Schizosaccharomyces pombe: one gene and its partners. Changing the gene in region 2 together with the main gene of any one other region gives a genetic interaction. Each region holds a gene or a part of one and is shown on either strand. Other genes may lie near its edges.

Region 1 (3,991 bases), on a different chromosome or scaffold from region 2:
AAGCTGAATTTGATGCAAAAGCACTTGGCATTTACCCATTCTGGAAAGCAACTCATGAAGCAACCGTTTTAAGAAATCTATCCCATCCTCTTGAAAAACGAAACGAACACCCCAATTAACATCTACGGATATGGACCTCCGTGGGGTTTCATTATTGATTATATCGGTATCAATTCCTCTGGAAATATTGTATAAATGCAGACCGTAATTTACCCCAAAAGTCTCTTGAAGATTGAATTTTTCAATTCTTTGCAGCTGCCCAATAGTACGCACACCGTACAAATTAAAAAGTTTCTGCGCTTGTGAAGAGCCCACCCCTGGTAAATCTTGAACAGACAAAGGACTCAATACATCAAAAACATTTTCTATTGACAAAGAATAAACGTTGTGAGGCTTCGCCTTCCTAAGTGCAAGTCTTGCTAAGAGAACATTTGGGCCAATACCAACGCTAACTTCGCAATTGGTTTTCTCGCGAACCTGCGAGCGGATAGACTCGGCAATCTCAAAGCAATCTTGAAAAGATGAAACACTAGAAGTTATATCTAGAAGAGCCTCGTCTATACTTATAACCTTAATATAGTCGTGAAGTGTATTAACAAGGATAGTGTAAAATTCTCTAGAAACAGATTCGTATGCTCCAAAATCATAATCAACAACCCGTAATGAAGGACACAGGTTTTTAGCTGTTCCAACGTACATACCATTTTTTATGCCAAACTTCCGAGCCTCATAATTACAACTAGCTATTTCGGAATTTTTTATACCATGAGCAACAGCAACGGGCTTCAGTCGTAGCTCATGAGAAAAGCGTGTTGAAACGGAAGCAAAAAAGCAATCAAAATCAACATGAAGAAGGAAACGAGATTTTTTTGATTTATCTTTCATAATTGGACGAACAGGTTCAGAAGCAGTAGTCATTGCTTGGATTTCATTTTTAAAATCAGCTTTCCAAGTACTTAAGTGATGTAAACGAGAGGAGCTAAAGAAATTCTCAAGAAAATCTTGATTTTGAGTGGTTGAATTTCGGACATTGGGATTTTTTAACAATTGATAGTTGTGCAGTGAAGACGCTGATAATCCACTCAAATCATCTAAAAATCCCTTTGCTTTACTCTCTTTTGTTTTATCTTTTTCATTATCATGTTCTTCTTCCTGCGAGCTTGTTTGAATATCTTCTAAGTTACCTTCGGGTTGGCTAGGTTTAGAGGCGACAAAAGAAAGGGTAGCTTGAGCCGATGAAGCTTGAAAGGTACGATAATTTATCCACGGAAGAATTTTCTTCTGTTTGATGCAATCCACTATCCATTCTGGTTTAACCACTTTCTGATGCTTCCATTGGCGAGCTTTGGAAGGAGTGAGAAATGAACACACCAAATATGATATGCTTGTTTTTCCATCAACATATTGTATAAAAGTACCTCCATTTGAAACTATCATTTGCCGTAATTCGGTATAAGACGGCTTTGTATATCCATTAATCGCTATTGCAAGTCCATGAAAGAGATCAGATTTAGAATCTTCATCAATACTTTTGTATAGAGCGGCATTTTGATTTTGAAGCTTTCTTTGTTTCCGGGAAAAATAATCTGCATAGTCGTGGAACCCAACACTTTCGTATGCCTCATCGTTTGCTTCGTCAAAGTCTGCAATCCCTACTGGGCGTCGACGCTTCCTTTGATTAAAAGCCATCCAGCGCGCTTCTCACTTTCAGTAAATATAAGTATTAATATGTTTCTGAAAGGAAAATAATACAAATAATAATGTAGCCACTTAAGCGGAAAAAGTGTAATTAATAAACAAACAATGTTTATAAAGAAAAACTAACTGCAAGAGCTTTTTTCTTTCATTATTTAACCTTATCCCAAAACTCGTGAAGCCAAACTATTTCAAAGTAAAAAACAACGAAATATCAAAAATAATTACTACGCGTTTGTTGTGATGCACGCTCGTCCAAATTTAATTAATTTTGAGTATAATTTGCAAATCGCGGTAATACGCACTACCCTTACTTAATGGAATACACAACGGTTTATGTATCAAAATTTTTTACATCCTCTACCACCTCACCTCTTAGGCAAGAATAAGTCATGTCTCTTCCAATTGCTGTTTATAGTCTTTCGGTAAAGGGAAAAGATGTTCCCGCTGTGGAGGAATCTACAGATGCATCTATTCATTTGACTATGGCATCCATTGATGCCGGCGAAAAGTCTAATAAACCAACTACTTTATTGGTGAAGGTTCGTCCCCGTATCCCCGTTGAAGATGAAGATGACGAAGAACTTGACGAACAAATGCAAGAGCTTCTGGAAGAAAGCCAGCGTGAATTTGTTTTATGTACTTTGAAGCCTGGTTCCTTATACCAACAGCCTTTAAATTTGACCATTACTCCTGGCGACGAAGTCTTCTTCAGTGCATCTGGCGATGCAACCATCCACTTGTCTGGTAACTTTTTGGTTGACGAAGAAGATGAGGAAGAGGAAGAATCTGACGAGGATTACGATTTGTCTCCTACTGAGGAGGATCTTGTCGAGACTGTCAGCGGTGATGAGGAAAGTGAAGAGGAATCTGAGTCGGAAGATAATTCAGCATCTGAGGAGGATGAATTGGATTCAGCTCCTGCTAAAAAGGCACAGGTTAAAAAAAAACGTACTAAGGATGAATCCGAGCAAGAAGAGGCTGCTTCTCCTAAGAAAAACAATACCAAGAAGCAAAAGGTTGAGGGTACCCCTGTTAAGGAAAAGAAGGTTGCATTTGCCGAAAAACTTGAACAAGGACCTACTGGTCCCGCTGCTAAGAAAGAAAAGCAACAAGCTTCTTCTAATGCACCTTCTAGTCCCAAGACTCGTACTTTAAAAGGAGGCGTGGTTGTAACTGATGTTAAAACTGGGAGCGGTGCGTCTGCTACCAATGGGAAAAAAGTTGAAATGAGATATATTGGGAAGCTCGAAAATGGAAAGGTTTTTGACAAAAACACTAAAGGTAAACCCTTTGCTTTTATCCTTGGTCGTGGTGAGGTTATTCGCGGGTGGGACGTCGGCGTTGCTGGAATGCAAGAAGGCGGTGAGCGTAAGATTACAATTCCTGCTCCCATGGCTTACGGCAACCAGAGCATTCCAGGAATTCCCAAGAATTCTACCTTAGTTTTTGAAGTCAAGCTTGTTCGCGTTCACTAAATTTTCATGTTGAAGATGAACATACTTTAACTCCCGTGTTTAAGAAGATCGCGGATTAAACTATGTATTCTATTAACTCTTTTTATCGCCTATCTTTTTCTTAGGTTTCAAAAAAAATCAGGGTATCATTTTGTATTTGAGTTAGGAAATTTTTTTTTAGTTAAGTGTTACAAACACTTTGGATATAGGACTTTTGGATGATTTGGATTGTTGGGTGATAAAGGAGATATAATCAATATACAATTTTTTAGAAAGAGCTGTTTGTATGTGTATGAGCATTAAGAGAAAAGAGAATAGCGCTTCCTTGATCGATACTAGTTAAGGATGTTTAAATTATGGAATTTTGAGTTTGAGTAAATATAAACGAGAACATTCCGAAAAACTCTATTAAAAGTAAAAAAAAACATATTGATAATAAAAGAGCCATTATCTGATTATCGCTAAATAAGTCTACAAACAGCTGTTTGTTTACGAAATTCTTAAAATTAATTATCGTAATAATCAACTTAAAAAAAAACAAGCAGTTTTAGAATTTAAAGAATTATTTTTATTATTTGTCTTTTTTCTATATTGTTTATTTGAAAATTGTGCTTCTGTTTACAGGCAAATCTTAAGGCGGGCATATATTTTTCTGAAACGTAAACAATCAACATGCCCAAATCAAGCAACTTGAAAATGCAGAGAAAAGGCTCTTTAAGAGAAAACGGTCTCGTGAAGGGTTTAAATAAAAATAGTAAGATATAAATTGGTGTGATAAATAAGTTAATGACATAGAATTTTCGATCAGCAAGTTAAAAGAACTATCTCATGCAGATGAC
Region 2 (5,309 bases):
ACTCAATTGCGACATCGATTGTATTTCGTGGATTTTTTCACGTACGGAATCTTGCTGCGTTAAATCCACTCCTTTCAATATTTCTTCATCTTCTTCATCTTCTTTTTGCTTTTGAACTTCAAGGAATTTCTTATTACAAGAGTCATCAGTCCCAACATCCTCTTCAGTAATATCTTTCAACAGGTCAGGAGGTAGTTCGAATATTGAGGTTAATTCTTGTGCAGCTTCCTCAAAAATCTCAGCGAATTCACGAAGATACTCCGACAATGACATCGACTTTTTTTGTGTTTGTTTTTTTTGTTATAATGATGGTTCTTGATCAAAAGGAGAAGGGGAATGCTTACCTATTCCTCGATCAGTTCAGTGTTGACTTATAGTGTGGTCCAGTGCAATGCGGAATGTGATATCCGTGCCATCACACTATTGTAAAAGCCGTAGATATACTTTGATCAATTTTAAGCTACGCATTCAAATAGTAACTTAATTTTTGCTCTCTTAATTGTTAAATCATCATTACTAAATATTTGAGCAGGCTCTTGAGAACATCTGCACCTTAACATTATTAAAAAGTATATGTAAACAAATTATTATTACTACGGTTGACTGATTAAAAGAAAACCACATCATAAATTCATACGAGTCCTTTGAATTTATCTTTTTTGTACACAGTACCAAGCTCATTTCAAGACTTCAAGCCTTTGATTTCTAAGTTCTTAAAAGGTGAAAGAGTTATAATAGTCAAATAAACCAGTGGAACATTTAATTATCATGAGCTATTAGTGTTCTTATTTCATCTTTTTCGGAAGAAAAAGAGAGCAAAAAATGAAAAAAAGTTGTCCAGCATCAGACAAATTTGTTACTCTGCCTAGTGTTAACAAAATATATAGAAGATAGACCGCAGTAAAGCGAGACAAAGAAATTAAATGAAATATAAAGATTATTTTTTTTAAACATTTGTCCAGCTTGCATAGCTTCGCCTTGACAAAATTTTCTGGCTCATTTATCTTTTAGATTTTCGTTTTTTACTTTCCCATTCATGCCAACTTCCTTGCATGTTTTTCAAACTAAACACATAAGTTAGATAAATATCATTCAACGATAAATTTTATACTTACATGACTGCTGGCTCTGGAGGTGGGCTCTCAGAAGTGAAATACTCATGCATCAAGGTCTCATGAGCTGACGGTCTACAAAAGGGATTTAGGGCAAGGAGTTTTTGGCATAGGTCAATGGCGGCAGGACTTAAAATCTCCTTAAAAGTTTCAACAAAACGCGACTTCTTTTCCTCTACTGGCTTCAGAAGCTCATACCAAGGAAGATTTTTCACCTCAGGCCAAGAATGAACATCAGGGGTACCCATCATATCATAGATAACCTCTAACTGACTGATTTCGTCTCGCCCTTGAAAAAAAGGTTTTCCTGTAAACAACTCCATAACAATACAGCCAGCACTCCATATGTCCACGGCTGTGTCATATGCAGTTTCTCCAAGTAATAGCTCTGGAGGTCGAAACCAAAGGGTAATAACGCGATTAGTGTAGTTAGCCGACTTCGAAGATGTATTAAATCTCGCCAGACCAAAATCTGCGAATTTTAGATCACCATTGTTATTCAGTAATATATTAGAACCTTTAATGTCACGATGAAGCACCCCACGATGATGAAGATAAGCTAATGCTTCAAAAATTTGCTTCGAAAGGTGTTTTATGTTACCGGGAGTAAAATGTAATTGTGAATTTAGTAAGACTCCAGTTAAATCGTGATCCATGTACTCAAATACCATATATACAGAACCTAGAATTTTAAAATGTTAGAACTAGTTATAATTAAACGGTGAATGAGGACAGTATTTAATCGTACTTTTTTCCACCATAATTTCTAATAGCCGAACAATATTTTTGTGACGCAAACGCTGCAAGATTTTGACTTCACGGACAGTAGTTATAGGGAACTAGAAAGTTAGTCAATTTAGTTACGAGCTTGATTTTTATACTTACACCATCCTTTTCCTGCTCCAGCCTTATCCGTTTTAAAGCTACCAAATCTCCTGTGACTGTGTTAATGGCTTTGTATACTTTACCATAAGTTCCTTCTCCAATTTGGTCGATTTTCTCATAGGCAGGCTTTGGATATGTATATGTATAAATTGGGCCGGAAGGAGGAGAAGGAAGAGGAGCTGGAACAGACTCACGGGCCGTGGACGTGAGTGCCATACGTTTCGAAGGAGGTTGATCGAATCGAGATCGGCGTTCATTAGGTATATGAAAGTGAAATTTTCCATGTTTGTTCTCTGGAAAGCCAGAAGACACGCTAGATTTTTTTTGTGTATCGGAGGAAGTAGTTTCATGAGGGATAGAAGGAATAGGGGGAGGAGAAGATGAAGGTCTCCGCGATACCTTTCGACCGTTAAAAGCTGAAGGCTTCATATGTACAGAACTAGGCGGAGACCTTCGAAAAGAAGAAGCTTGCCTTTTTGAATCATTTCTGTTTGCGGACGGTGATATAGGTGAGACGGAGGCGCTAGAAGAGCTTTCAGAGCGTTTGGCAAAGTAATCCTTGGTAGTTAAATTACGTGCTCGTTTTTGACTACCTGAGCGGTAAAAGGAAGGTGATGGAGGTGAGCCAGGTCTAGGACTGAATGCCTTTTTACCCTTTCTCCTTCTAGATTTTCGAGAACGAAAAGGTCTTTCATGCTGTCTTGCTCGGGAAGAATGTGTATCGTTGAGAGGAAATGTTCTTTTCCGCTGTTCTCGAGGATCCTTCGCAGATGAGGATGGCGATATACTAGATGAATTATTTTTGAAAGCATTAGAGGACAGGGTGTGGCCTCCTAAAGACTCCTCATTTGTACCAGAAAGCTGAGACTTTTCTTCGACGGTACGCCGAAAGTGGCTATTTGGTTCTGTGCCTTGTCGGCGATAAATTGTACTCTTCGAGTATGACATTTAACAGGGTTAAAAAAAATAAAAAATAAAAAAAGGAATATTCCTAAACAATGAAGAGAATTACACGCAATCTGTGAGCGAAAATTCGATGGGAATAAAAGAAAAGAAATTAATCGTTAAAGTACGGCCAAATGTGTTTTTATGTAACAATAAATACAACTTCACCGGAAAAAAATCGTACAAGGGAAATAAAAGGTAAGCTGCCAAGACAAGCTAGTTAAATCCAGTGAAATAAATCATGCAATCTAATAAATGAAGAAAGGACAATTTTCAGAGTGGAGATTTTTTTCACCGCTAAACTATGAAGGGTGAACGTGAGACAAACCTTTTCAATCAATAGAGAAATCTAACCAGAGATTTGTGAATAAGTCGGTTGCAGAAATGTTATTGAAACGTAAATGTACAAAATATGAGTATCCACAAAATTAGGAAATACTTTTAAGTATCAACTCTTGCAGCTTAAAAAAATATACCGTAATTTTCTTTTAGTTGCACTCCTGATTTCTTTGATCTATCAATTCAAAATGTACATTGTTAAAAACACCAATTATCTCGAAATTTAATAAAGACAGAAATAAATTAGTTCTTCCTCTTCTATGACAATGAATGAAGTAGTTTGCAAGTCCACTAGTTTAATCAAGGGGCGATAGGTAAACTTCGTTGTTGGTGTGTAGTAGAAATAGAAATAAACGCGCGCGACTCAATTCCTTTACCACACCATACTTAAAATAATAAGTAATTTGAGGCTATGATGAATATCAGCTTGTTTTATAGAAATCAAAGTAAATAATGTATTTATTCAATGCTTAACTCTTAGCCATTTTCTCTTCCCCATTTGCTAAGATGGTCTTTTAACTATTAACTAAGTCCAACCAGTTATTCTCAATTCATATAATATTATTGGATTAAACCTTTTCATCTGAATTATATTAAGTTCATATTTAACATTTTAAAAAGCGATGAAGATAAATCTGGTAATCCGCATGGATCCTTGGAAATTGCCATTGGCGATAGTAAACCAAAGGAATCAAATGTCGACTAGATAAAGGCAAGTCTGAGCTTTTCTATTAGTTTTGAATCGTTTAAAATAATATTATTTATGAGAAATTAATATTCTACCATAAATTAGTGTTTTCCGTGAGTCTAAAGAATACAAAGTAAAATAATCAATAATATGCAACCCTTACATGTAAGGTAGGAGGGAATATATTATTTTACTGTATATAGAAGTTTTACATCCTTTCATAAGTATAACGTTATCACATTGGACGTTCTAGTAGAACGCCAGTCTTCAAAACATTAAAAATTCATATTCAGCCTCTCAAAATCTATTGTGTGCAAATTGTTTGCAAAGCTAAATTAATCAATAATATTTTTTTAAAAATTAAACAAAAATGCTTGGTTTTAGAAAGAACAAGGTTAGGTCAAGAGCTTCAAGATGAATAACTCATGGAATTCTGTTCCTGTTGTTTATTCAATTTTAAGAGTGATGATTTTGACATAAATTTGGTGCAATATTGTTTAAATAATAGTCTCATTAGTTAAACTAAATGTTTAAAAAAAAAAAAAATCATTGCAAAAAGCTAAATGAGCATAATTGATTTTTTATAAGTTTTTTTTTTCAAAAATGCAAACAAATAAATTAAATTTGTTTAATGAAATTAAAAAATAAAAAGGTAGATGATCGTACAAACGGCTACTACCAGTACGATATAATTTTTTATAAAAATTCCAAAACGTAAGCATAATTAATATGAAATAATAAAATATCATAGAAATTCAAGTGTACAAGGATCCTACGACCAAATGTTTGCTTTCATATGTATATATTCAATTCTAAATATTTATATAGCTTACTCAATTTGTGCAATTTTAACAAAGAAACGTGATTTTATTACAATAAATAGGTCATTAAAAAAATAAAAATTTGCACTTATATTCAATTGACTGACATACAAAACGTATTATCAGAGTTAGACTTAAATAAAATTTTCCTTATTCAACGGACATCCTATACTGGTTTCTGTGGATTTATGATATATTTGCATATGGTAAATTCAGCGAGAGAGTCCCTTGCACTCAATTATATTCACCAATAATACTTAATGAATCTTAATCGAAAAGACATGGACGTTGTGCTTTCAAATGCGAAAACCATATCTTCTTATTCAACATTTAATATGGGGTAAAAGTAGAGTACTTCTAATATCTTAAAGCAAAGCAAAAAAAATAAGCTCTTTTATTATGTTATATTTTCGTTAATAAAAATCGCTTCTTCAAACATTTATTCATCACAGGTGCGATATAAGAATCTGAGTTTGTACTCTATAGCAGCTCTTTTAGCTTTCAGTATTTAATTTATTC
Region 3 (3,842 bases), on a different chromosome or scaffold from region 2:
CAATGGCTATTTATTGACTGATATTAGTATTATAATTTTCATACAACTATAAAAATACATTGGCAAAAAAGAAAAAATATTGAAAAATCCTAAATAGATACGATGAAATCGATTTCTAACAAAAATTAAAATTAAAATAAAAAACTAAGAAAAAAAAAAAAAATCAAACAGTTACATAAGAACCTAGCTATTTTTTTCCAAACTCCTTCCTATTTATTGTATTCTTTTCAAACATATAAAGAGACGTACAGCAATCACTATCCATAAATAACGATAAAAGCAGCATTATGGGTAAATGAATTTGTGAAATTCACCAACTTGCCAAAAATTGCTTACATATTCTCGTTAACTGGCTTTACCGGTTCCGGGTACAATTCATTAACCAATCGGTTGGACGTAATGACTAAATAGCCCATAAGAAATATAGACAGAAAAAAAGGGAAAATAAACGTGAAAATTACCAAATCTAAGCATTCTCAATTTATGAAATGCTTGGTCTTTTAGTTGGAATTGTGCTGTACTGGTGCGACCGAGCTTCGAAATCGGCGAAGGAAAAAACTCAAAAGAAGCAAACGTCTACCGTTTCACGAAAGAAGAGTAAAAAAACTGCATCGAAAAAAAATTCTGGAAATTCAAAAGCATTAATTGTAAAAAAAAATTAAGTACTATTCTTTTGCATGTACTGCTCGATTCAATGTTTAATGACACTCCTTTCATCAATCTGTTCATCTCCACTCTACAATCTATTTATTCATTTGATACATACTCTCATATAGGATTTTGAAAAATATACTCATTACTATACAATATTATAATTAAGGGAGAATAAAAAAGAAATAAAAAAAACCAAAGGAGCCAGTTCAAGTAGGAATTACTTGTGCAAAAGCCCTTCAAGTACTAGTAAAAGTAACTAGTAGAGAATGACTTGGCTGCATCTAAAACATCCTTAAAGTTCAGGCATAACGAAAACAATAACAGCAAAGAAAAAGAAAGACGCAAAAAGTTCAAAAGGAAAAAGAACCAAACATGGTTTAGAAGCGAGAAACAACCAAAAAAAGTATTGCGGGGTTGTAAAAAAAGAAAGGTCCTTTACAACTTTTCAATGTCTTTCCCTTCATCCTCTTTCAAAATGTTTTACTTGACGACTGACTTTACAGCTCCTGACTAGGCTTTCCAGTGCGACCAGAAGTTTTGGGCAAAAGATGGGCGTTGATGTTGGGAACAACACCACCTTGAGCAATGGTAACGTGACCAAGAAGTTTGTTCAACTCTTCATCGTTACGGATGGCGAGTTGAAGATGACGGGGAATGATACGAGTCTTCTTGTTGTCACGAGCAGCGTTTCCAGCCAATTCGAGAATTTCAGCAGCCAAATATTCCAAAACGGCGGCCAAGTAAACGGGAGCACCAGCACCAACACGTTGAGCATAGTTACCCTTACGTAACAAACGATGGACACGACCAACGGGGAAAGCCAAACCGGCCTTGGCAGAACGGGATTGAGCAGATTTGGCAACAGCAGCCTTACCACCAGATTTACCTCCAGACATGACGAAAAATACTGAAACTAAATAAAAAAAATAAAAGTTTGAGTTAAAAAAAAAAGATTTTTCCTTCTTTAATGAAAAAAGATAACAGTCAACGATGAAGCAGCGAATGGATCAAATTTGGTGAAATTAACAGAATTTTCTCGCAATTTCAGCCTTTACGGACAATCAATCTCCTTATCAACTAAGGATCAATTGTTTATATCAATTTCAATACGTGTATGGATCAAAAGGTATCCTAAACAACGAAAAGTCGCGATATAGGGAAAAGGAGACATAGGAGCGCGCACCCTTCATATATATACTAATTCTAATCTTCCGTATAAGCACGTCTAACGCGTTCTTGTAGATGACGTTTCCGCGTCGCATGGCTAAACACCAGGGTTAGGGTTGTGATGCCCAAGTTGTATATAACCATCGCGTCGCCTGCAGGCATGTTAGTTAATACCAACAACTTGATATTGCACGAAAGTTTAGGATTATCAAATTCCTACAATTGCAATTACTTAGTTCAGTCCATCAATTTTGAGATTCTCTCGACAACCAATTTTTAAATCGTAAAAAATGTCTGCTGCTGAAAAGAAACCCGCTTCCAAGGCTCCCGCCGGTAAGGCTCCTAGGGATACCATGAAGTCTGCTGATAAGAAGCGTGGTAAAAACAGAAAGGAAACTTATTCATCCTATATTTACAAGGTGTTGAAGCAAGTTCACCCTGATACTGGTATTTCCAACCAAGCCATGCGTATCTTGAACTCTTTCGTCAACGATATTTTTGAGCGTATTGCCACTGAGGCTTCCAAGCTTGCTGCTTACAACAAGAAGTCCACTATTTCTTCCCGTGAAATCCAGACTGCTGTTCGTTTGATTCTTCCCGGTGAGTTAGCCAAGCACGCCGTTACCGAAGGTACCAAATCCGTCACCAAGTATTCTTCTTCTGCTCAGTAAGCGAATCGCACGATTGTGCAATCGTCTTTTAGTCAGCTGATGAGTTTCCACAGCCTTCCATTTCGACAATGACAACCTCACGAAACAAAAGGGGGTAGGTTATTTGCTCTTTTGGAAATATATATTTTCCTCCTCCCTTTTTTAACGTTTTCGTTCCCTCCTCTTTTCCATTTCCGCCTTTTGTATCGCATTCCTATTTTATTCCCCGTACAATGACGACAACAACAACACAGGTGCAGCACATCACGCGATAGTTTTTTTTACATTACACATGGTTCTTCATTTCTATGACCGGTTCGTGGAGTTGAAAGGTGTTTTGTTTTGCACAAGTCGTACTGGATCAAATTGGGTTTTGTGTTCGATTCGACGGGGACGAGATGCTTTTTCTTCCCTTGGTTAATCTTCTTCCCTTGTGCATTTTATAGCTATCACCACTGGTTGGAGAGTTGAGTTTCTTTTTTTTCGACTGTTTGTTCCTTTCCGCCATGTATGGAAATAATTTGTGTCATTGGCACTCATACAGACACTTCTCACACTCCATTTCCCGTTCCACTCCTGGGCATCTTGGTTTATTAATGGATTTATTATTATTATTATTGTTTATGTTGGTGATTTAGATTGATGGTGAATGGAATATTATTATTCACATTCAAAATATCCCAAAGAATCCAGTGTGCGAAGTTGATGTGGTTTGGTATGTTTGCTATGCAAATGATTTTATATATGTTTGGAAAGATTGTAAAGTAATTCTACTATTAATAATAATATAATATTATGAAAAGATCATTTCAATAAACTGAAACTTGAGTCGTGTTTTCGTAGCTGTTTCCGTAGTCGGACTTATGGAGCTGGCTTCTGCCTTTCTTTGGATTTGTTGTAGCAAGTCGAGTATGGTAGGTGGAAGGCATTTATTTAAGAAATGCGAAATACTAGGAATGTCGTGGAAAAAGGCATATGGTGAGTGTAAAGCAAACTGAGCGAGCATACAAGACGTTGTGGCTATCATCCAATCTGCCGCTTCATTAGGAGGCATGGAGTCTTTTAATTCTAAGTATATGGTTTCTAGAGTGGAAAACAATTGGAAGGTCGGTGGTTGAATGCTCAACTTGGATATGGAAGAGGGTGTGGTATTGGAAAAACTGGTATCCCGTATGGCCAACAATTTATAAAGATCTTGCAAGTTTCGAAGAGATTTTGAAATTCTCGGATCGAGGGAGGGAGAAACCTCGTTAAGAGGAAATGTCTGTAAGAGAAACTTTTGGTAAGGTACCAAACGTGAACGCAAGTTTAACAGTCGAGTTACGAAGTGTAAAACATCAGAGCGGGTAATGGAGGTAGAGAAAACAGGTA
Region 4 (7,716 bases), 760 kb from region 2:
ACCGGCTCCTAAACCACCAAACAAACCTGTCCCTGCTGGTTTAGGAGCAGTGGTAGCAGTGGATCCAAAAGCTGGCTTGGGAGCATTATTAGCATTTTGCCCAAAAGAAAAACCTCCGCTGGCAGGAGTAGTGGTCGTGGAACCAAAACCGAATCCAGAAGGCTTAGTGGCTGCATTATTATTGGCACCAAAGGAAAAATTACTACTATTGTTACCACCAAAAGTAGATGTTGGAGCGGTGTTATTATTTGCCGTATTATTATTAGCGCCAAAACCAAACAAACCTGTACCCATGGTACCTGAATTGGGTTGGTTATTCGTGTTGCTTCCAAACCCCCCAGTAGAAGAACCAAATCCCGTACCCGTACCAGTGGCAGCACCACCAAATAAGCCACCCGTAGTTTGACCTGTTCCTGTATTGGTTGCGTTATTTGAACCAAAAAGACCCGTTCCTGTACCAGTATTGGTAGTGTTAGTGGTTGAGCCAAAACCTGAAAAAGCTGGTTTTTGTTGATTAAATGTAGAGCCACCAAAAAGACCGGTTGAAGGAGTTGAGGTGGTATTATTGTTTTGACCAAATAACCCACCGGATGCATTATTTGTTCCAGAACCAAACCCTGTATTGGTAGTGTTACTACCAAATGCAGATCCACCGCCAAAGAGACCGGAACCAGGAGTGGTATTAGTAGCATTCGATGTACCAAACGGTGTTGCATTATTTGTGGTACCTGACAAATTCTGACCAAACGGAGTAGTTGAAGCTCCAAATGCGGGTGTTGAACCAAATGCAGAAGTAGTGTTCGTACTAGAAGCATTGCCAAAACGTCGTCCTTGATTATAGTCTTGTAAACGCAACTCTTCAAATGAATAAGATCTATAAGCGGGCATACAAGTTATAGACTGGAAGACACTAGTACCGTTTGTTTGAGGGTCTTTTTCAGAAGTTACCGCATAAGGTGGGTTAGCTGTACCATTCACAGCGTTTGCATTGCTTGAGACAAATCCAGAGGTTCCGAAAGCGTTGGTCGTAGCGGGTGTAGTGGACGAACCAAACAAGCCACCACCAGTACCTTGCGAACCAAACCTGTATTTCCAGCAGTATTGCCAGCGTTATTTTGAGAACCAAACAAGCCACCACCGGTACCAGTATTCGATGCAGTGTTACCGAACCCTGTTGAACCAGCGTTCGATCCAAAAGAAAATGACGTTCCAGTATTTGCATTGTTGTTGGCGGTATTTGATCCAAAGAGGCCACCACCACTAGGATTTGTGGCGTTGTTCGTGCCTCCAAAAGCAGGAGTATTGGATTGGCCAAACATACCTGTCCCAGAGGACATTCCAAAACCTGTGCCACCAGTCGTGGTAGTGTTGTTTCTATTTCCAAATAGTCCACCGTTCGTATTTGATCCAAACAAGGGTTGAGTAGTGTTCTGCCCAAAGCCAGTTGTAGAAGTGTTTTGGGAACCAAACAAAGTGTTCCCTGGAGTATTGGAGTTGGAACCAAATAACCCACCAGTTTGTTGATTATTTTGACCGAAAGCACCGGTTCCTCCTCCAAATCCGGAAGAATTGTTTTGTCCAAACATCACTAGGATGATATTTGATTAAATAATTAGTAAAGTCACCAAAATTGGTGTTGTGTGGACGACAGGTCCGAATAGTGCACTGCTACTCAAGATACGTTCAAGGCGTGATAGAGAAGAATACAGAAATTTAGCTTTTTTTTTAATACTCACGGTAATTACAATTTTTAAATTTGCTTCATTTGTTTTTCTCAACGTAATTGTCGCATTTCTTCTAACGTGGTATTATTTCTGTACATCGAGGTTGATCACTTACTTCTCGTATACGTACACTGGTGCTTCATAAGTCATCGAACGTTGATTCCAGGCTAGAAAATGTCTTCGGGGGGACTTGAAGATGATATTCAGCTGGTACACGAGTTTTTGGATGTATCTTTTGAGGATATAAAACCCCTGGTGTCTGTCAATGGTTTCGCTGTATTTATATCTGCTATTAAAACCAAGGTTAAAGACATAAACGCTTTAAAGGATCAGCTTGTCCTTCAAGAAGTCAACCATGAGCATAAGGAGAATGTTCTTACGAAGAAGATTAACTTTCTTGAGCAACAACTTCAATCTTCTAATAATCAAGCAGAGGAATCACGTAATCTTATATCGGTATTGAGAAATGAGAACGAATCGCTGAAAACCAACTTGGAGAATCAAAATAAGCGCTTTGATGCATTGACTACTGAGAACCAGTCGCTTAGAAGGGCTAACTCTGAATTACAAGAGCAATCTAAGATTGCTTCTGAGCAGCTTTCAATCGCGAAAGATCAAATCGAAGCCCTACAAAATGAAAATTCACATTTAGGAGAGCAAGTCCAGAGTGCGCATCAAGCATTGTCTGATATTGAAGAAAGAAAGAAACAGCACATGTTTGCTAGCAGTAGCAGTCGTGTCAAGGAAGAGATACTCGTTCAGGAGAAAAGCGCTTTAGTCTCTGATTTGGCTAGTTTGCAATCAGATCATTCGAAAGTTTGCGAAAAATTAGAAGTTTCATCTCGTCAAGTTCAAGATTTGGAGAAAAAGCTTGCTGGGCTTGCCCAACAGAATACAGAGCTTAACGAAAAAATACAGCTTTTTGAGCAAAAGCGGAGCAATTATTCCTCCGATGGGAACATATCAAAAATCCTTGAAACCGACCCCACTTCAATCAAAGAACTTGAAGAAGAAGTGGAAACTCAGAAACGACTTACAGCTCTTTGGGAGTCTAAATCTTCAGAGTTGCAATCAGAGGTTGCTGCACTTCAAGAAAAGCTCACTTCGCAACAAAGTCTATACAATAATGTGACCGAAGAGTTAAATAATAACAAGCAACAGCTATTGATTTCGGAGAATAGTTTGCGGGAACTGCAAGAGAAATATGATAGTGTAGTTAGTGAACTACAAGTGGTTAAAGAAAATAAAAATACCTCTGTTTCAGCTGGTGTAGGTTTGTTTTCTCCTTTGGCGCAAAAGTTAAGCGCCGTTCAAAATCCCGAATTTTCATTTACGAAAGTATATTCGGACAATATGAAACTCCAACAGAAGGTTTCTAGCTTAAAGCTTCAGCTAGACCGCTTGACTAACAAATTCTCCTCATTTTGTGAACAAGTTAAACAAAGGATTCCAGTTGTCAAACAACAGAGGAGTGAAATCGTTAGGAATAACATTTATATGAATTTTCTTAGCGAATCTTTGGAAACATCTAACAACAACCTAACCAAAGTACAAGCAGAGCTTTTATCGACCAAAATGCGCCAAGAAGCTTGTTACTTGCAGCTCACCGCATCTCGTACTCAATGCAGTGATCTTTCTCGAGAAGTTATTTGTCTCATGGCCGAACTTGATCATTTGAATGAAACTAAATCAAGAAACGTTCCCGCTACTGTGCAAGTTGCGCTTGATGAATACGCTCAAAATCCCTCTACTGCATCTGAGACACTAGTAAACAAGGAGCTTGCTAATTTTTCATCTATAAAGGAAGCTGTTTCGAAAACTCTAGAACTGCGGGAAAAAGTGCGGGCCCTTGAATGCGATGTTGAAATCCAAAAGCAAACTGTCCAATATCAAATTTCCAATGCAGTTAAAGAAAATTCAAATACACTTTCAGAGCAAATCAAAAATTTGGAAAGTGAGTTAAATTCGTCAAAAATAAAAAATGAGTCCTTACTTAATGAACGAAATTTACTGAAAGAAATGTTAGCTACTTCTCGAAGCAGTATTTTGTCTCACAATTCTTCCGCGGGCAATATTGATGACAAAATGAAATCCATTGATGAATCTACAAGAGAACTTGAGAAAAATTACGAAGTTTATCGTAACGAAATGACAGCTATTCAGGAATCCTTGTCTAAGCGAAATCAGGATTTGTTGAGTGAGATGGAAGCAATACGTAAAGAGTTAGAAAATTCCAAATATCAGCAGCAGTTATCTACTGATAGATTAACTAATGCTAATAATGACGTTGAAGCCTTTAAAAAGGAAGCCAAGGAGCTTCGTAGTATTAATCAAAATTTACAGGATATAATTAGTCGACAGGATCAGAGAGCCAGTAAATTTGCCGAAGAATTATTACATGTTAACTCACTTGCTGAAAGATTAAAAGGTGAACTAAATGCTTCGAAGGGTGAAAAAGATTTACGGAAAAGGACGCAAGAGCGTTTAATATCTGAAAACGATAAACTTTTGGCTGAGCGCGAGAGACTAATGAGTCTTGTATCAGATCTTCAAACTTTTCTTAACCAGCAACAGCTATCTGATGCTGCTAGAAAAGTAAAATTTGAATCTGAGAAGGAAAGCTTAAGCCTTTCCTTGCAGAAGTTGAAGGAGTCAAATGAAAAGATGAGTAATGATCTTCATTCTCTACAGAAATCTTTGGAAAAGAGCGGAATTGAGTACTCCAGCAGGATTAAGACATTAATGCTCGAAAAACAATCGTTAAGTGAAGACAACAGGAAATTGTTAGATAATCAACAAATGATGGAAATAAAACTCCAAGAATTAAACGGCGTCATTGAACTTGAAAAACAAAGATTTTCTACTTTGGAAGCCAAGTTTACACAGCAAAAAAATACGTCCTATAGCGAAAGGGAAGCTTTGCTAGAATCATCGCTTAGTGACTTGCAATCTAAACATACTTCCTTAGAATCCCAATACAATTATTCTTTAAGGAATATTGAACAGTTACAGGCCGCAAGCAAACTCGCCGAAGAAATGGTTGAAAGAGTTAAAACTGAGTATGATGAGTATCGATTGCAAACTTCAGAGTCCTTGGAAAAAAATCATTTAAAAATCACTTCTCTTGAACAAAGGATAGTTATTCTACAAGATGAGATAGCTTCTTCTTCTTTACGCTGTGAGAATATTACTAAAGATAGCGAAACAAGAGTTGCCTTGCTTTTAGAGGAAAATAAGCATCTTAACAATGAGCTTTCGTCACACCGAAATGCTGAAAAGCAACATTTAGAGAAGGAGAATGATTATAAACAACAGTTGTTGTTGGTAACTGAAGATTTAAGAAAAACTCGTGAAGATTATGAAAAGGAACTTTTAAGACATGCCGATGCTAGATCGACTCTTCAAAAACTGCGCGAGGATTACACGAAGGCATTAGAACAGGTTGAAGATTTGAATAAAGAAATAGCCTTAAAGGCCGGTATAAACGAATCTCAGCCCTTTCCCATTAGTGAAAAAGAAGATCCTTTGAGACAGGAAGTTTATGTCCTCAAAAAGCAAAACGCAATGCTTTTAACCCAACTTCAATCTTCCAATCTCAACTTTGCAGAAATAACTAGCCCATCCCCGGATTTAGATTCTGTTATGAAATTAGGATTATCAGATTTACAGAATCATGTGAAGCGTATATCCAAAGAAATGGAGATTATTTCATGCCAACGACAATTATTATTCCTTGAAAATAAGAAACTCAAGCGAACCGTTGAATCATCGAATCGAGTTATCGCCGATCTGCAAAGAGGTATAACGGAAAAGGATGTTAGCAGTACTTCTGAATCCGTTGGGGAACGTTCAAATTATCTAAACATGGTTGCTTTATTAAATGAGAGCAACAAATCTCTCCGAGAAAATTTAGAAAGGAACGAGGAAGTTATCACAGAGTTAAGAGAGAAAATAGAAACTCTTAAAACTGATTTGGCGAATTTTAGACTTAATAAAGAACAACTAGAATCACAGCTTCAAACAGAGAAAGCAGCTGTAAAAAAGCTTGAAAACAGCAACGAAGAATACAAGCGTCATAACCAAGAAATATTACTATCTTTGAACAGTAGCACATCTACGTCTAGTGATGCTTCACGCTTAAAGAATGAACTTGTTTCCAAAGAAAACTTAATAGAGGAGTTAAATCAAGAAATTGGTCATTTGAAATCTGAATTGGAAACTGTTAAATCAAAAAGCGAAGATTTGGAAAATGAGAGAGCGCAAAACCAATCCAAGATTGAACAATTAGAGTTGAAGAATACAAAACTAGCAGCTGCTTGGCGAACTAAATATGAGCAGGTAGTTAACAAGAGCTTAGAAAAGCACAATCAAATACGTCAACAACTTTCGCAAAAGACTTCTGAATTAGAAGCCAAGGTTGCGGAATGTCATCAGCTCAATGAACAACTCAACAAACCTTCTGCAACCCCCACTGCTACTACACAGTCTGAACCAAGTACGGTGTCACTGGAAGAATTCAATAGCACTAAGGAAGAACTATCTTCTACACAGCGAAAGCTAAGTGAAATTATGGATATCTTAAATACTACGAAGGAGGAGCTTGAGAAGGTCAGACAAAATAGTAATAAATCTGAGGGAACCAGTAAGGATACTGAAATACCCAACGAAGAAGAAATGGAAAGGAAGAAAGTCATGCAACAGGAAGTTTTGAGGTTACGTTCGAGAATTGCAAAAGAGCTACAGAAAAACGAATTACTCAGGAAACAAAATCAGGTTTTACAAGATCAAGTGAAAGCTTTGCAAGAGACAGTTGTGTCATCCGAGGAAGCAGAGTCCGCTTCGGTACATGCTGATACTAAAGATTTGGAAAACTTAAAAAAGACAGAAGAGATGTTATCAGTTACATTTCAAGTAATCTTCAACGAGTCCATATCTGACTTTTCGACTTCCACTGCCGACTTTACTACTTTTGTGCAAAAGGAATGGGAAAAGCGCAGAGAAATTTTACAGAAGGATGTTGAGGAACAAGTTGCTCAGTCGCATCAAAAACAACTAGATAACATCCGAAAAGAACTCGAGATGCGTAACAAGTTGAAGTTGAGCATGCTGGAAAAGAACTTAGCTAGAGTGCGAGCAGAGTTGGAGCAATCGAAGAAAAAAGATAGCCCTGCAATTTTAAGTTTGGAAGCTTCTAAAAACACTGATTCCAATAAAAGCAATTCTGAAGTCCCAGCAGCTCAAGTTAAAGAGAAAAAGTTAATCGCCAAAACTCACTCTGTTGACACTAATTCTCCTCCTAAACGGTCCAGTTCAGACGCTGGTATGGATGTTTCCAATGATGTTAAGAAAGCCAAATAGTAAAATATGAATTTTTTGGTATAATGCCCTTTTTAATGTTTCTTAAGAGTTTGTAAACAGATAATAAAATAGGTTAGCTGCATAATTATTATTTCTGGTTTCCAATAAAAAAAACGACTTTAATTTTATTATAATAAAAAGCTTTGTATTGTAATTTAATATTTTGATATTTTTTGAAGAGCTATAGATATTTTGCGCAACTAATGTCCTTATTCAGATATGTAAGCTACGCAGTTTGGTATCTGATTTAAGGATACGTAGAACTGCGGTGAGTTTTCCTTGTGGTCTATTATATTACAATACACAGGTTGTATAAGTAGCAACTGAGTATAGGTATTGTATTAACTGGGTTATAATGTTACCTATCACTAATATAGCTCATAACTGAACTGAGGAACGAGGTTCAGTTGTAACGGTATTTATAATATTTCTAAATAGTTGTTATCAACGGGTAACTATGTATATAGACGGATAGTTACCCGTGATTATCAATAAACGGATCTTAGCTAGTATTCCAACATATGACATATAGTGATACGCAACGTAGTGTATCATAGCGTAGTGTAGTATTGCTGACAAGATAAAATAAATAATGACGTTTTCGCGTGTTCTTAAGCTTAAGAACGTAACGCGC

Evidence for each region.
Region 1: mutations in lsk1 (region 2) and ani1 together harm fitness less than expected from each alone (positive genetic interaction), as found in Schizosaccharomyces pombe (2 studies listed by BioGRID).
Region 3: of lsk1 (region 2) and htb1, changing one suppresses a phenotype caused by changing the other (phenotypic suppression), as found in Schizosaccharomyces pombe (one study listed by BioGRID).
Region 4: mutations in lsk1 (region 2) and alm1 are lethal when combined (synthetic lethality), as found in Schizosaccharomyces pombe (one study listed by BioGRID).

The regions. Positions count from the first base shown.
Region 1 is NC_003423.3:4,062,470-4,066,460, forward strand, and holds ani1 (FKBP-type peptidyl-prolyl cis-trans isomerase), read left to right. Parts: upstream 1-2,050; 5' UTR 2,051-2,087; coding exon 2,088-3,173; 3' UTR 3,174-3,491; downstream 3,492-3,991. Other genes in the region: deoxycytidyl transferase Rev1, read right to left, coding at 1-1,689; sporulation specific PIL domain protein Meu14, read left to right, coding at 3,825-3,906, 3,948-3,991. UniProt on the Schizosaccharomyces pombe protein: PPIase that acts as a histone chaperone. Histone proline isomerase that increases the rate of cis-trans isomerization at prolines on the histone H3 N-terminal tail. Proline isomerization influences H3 methylation thereby regulating gene expression.
Region 2 is NC_003424.3:3,952,107-3,957,415, reverse strand, and holds lsk1 (P-TEFb-associated cyclin-dependent protein kinase Lsk1), read right to left. Parts: upstream 3,621-5,309; 5' UTR 2,946-3,620; coding exon 1,998-2,945; intron 1,952-1,997; coding exon 1,861-1,951; intron 1,846-1,860; exon of another isoform or gene 1,795-1,845; coding exon 1,116-1,794; exon of another isoform or gene 1,065-1,115; coding exon 1,001-1,064; 3' UTR 547-1,000; downstream 1-546. Other genes in the region: SPOM_SPAC2F3.16 (ubiquitin-protein ligase E3), read right to left, coding at 1-273. UniProt on the Schizosaccharomyces pombe protein: Catalytic subunit of the CTDK-I complex, which hyperphosphorylates the C-terminal heptapeptide repeat domain (CTD) of the largest RNA polymerase II subunit. Involved in RNA polymerase II transcriptional elongation and pre-mRNA 3'-end processing.
Region 3 is NC_003421.2:1,410,373-1,414,214, forward strand, and holds htb1 (histone H2B Htb1), read left to right. Parts: upstream 1-1,986; 5' UTR 1,987-2,111; coding exon 2,112-2,492; 3' UTR 2,493-3,264; downstream 3,265-3,842. Other genes in the region: hta1 (histone H2A alpha), read right to left, coding at 1,152-1,550; exocyst complex subunit Sec5, read right to left, coding at 3,265-3,842. UniProt on the Schizosaccharomyces pombe protein: Core component of nucleosome. Nucleosomes wrap and compact DNA into chromatin, limiting DNA accessibility to the cellular machineries which require DNA as a template.
Region 4 is NC_003424.3:3,190,898-3,198,613, reverse strand, and holds alm1 (nucleoporin Alm1), read left to right. Parts: upstream 1-1,846; 5' UTR 1,847-1,898; coding exon 1,899-7,082; 3' UTR 7,083-7,167; downstream 7,168-7,716. UniProt on the Schizosaccharomyces pombe protein: Maintains the proteasome and its anchor cut8 at the nucleus envelope and is required for kinetochore component proteostasis. Proper kinetochore stoichiometry ensures the correct attachment of kinetochores to spindle microtubules during cytokinesis.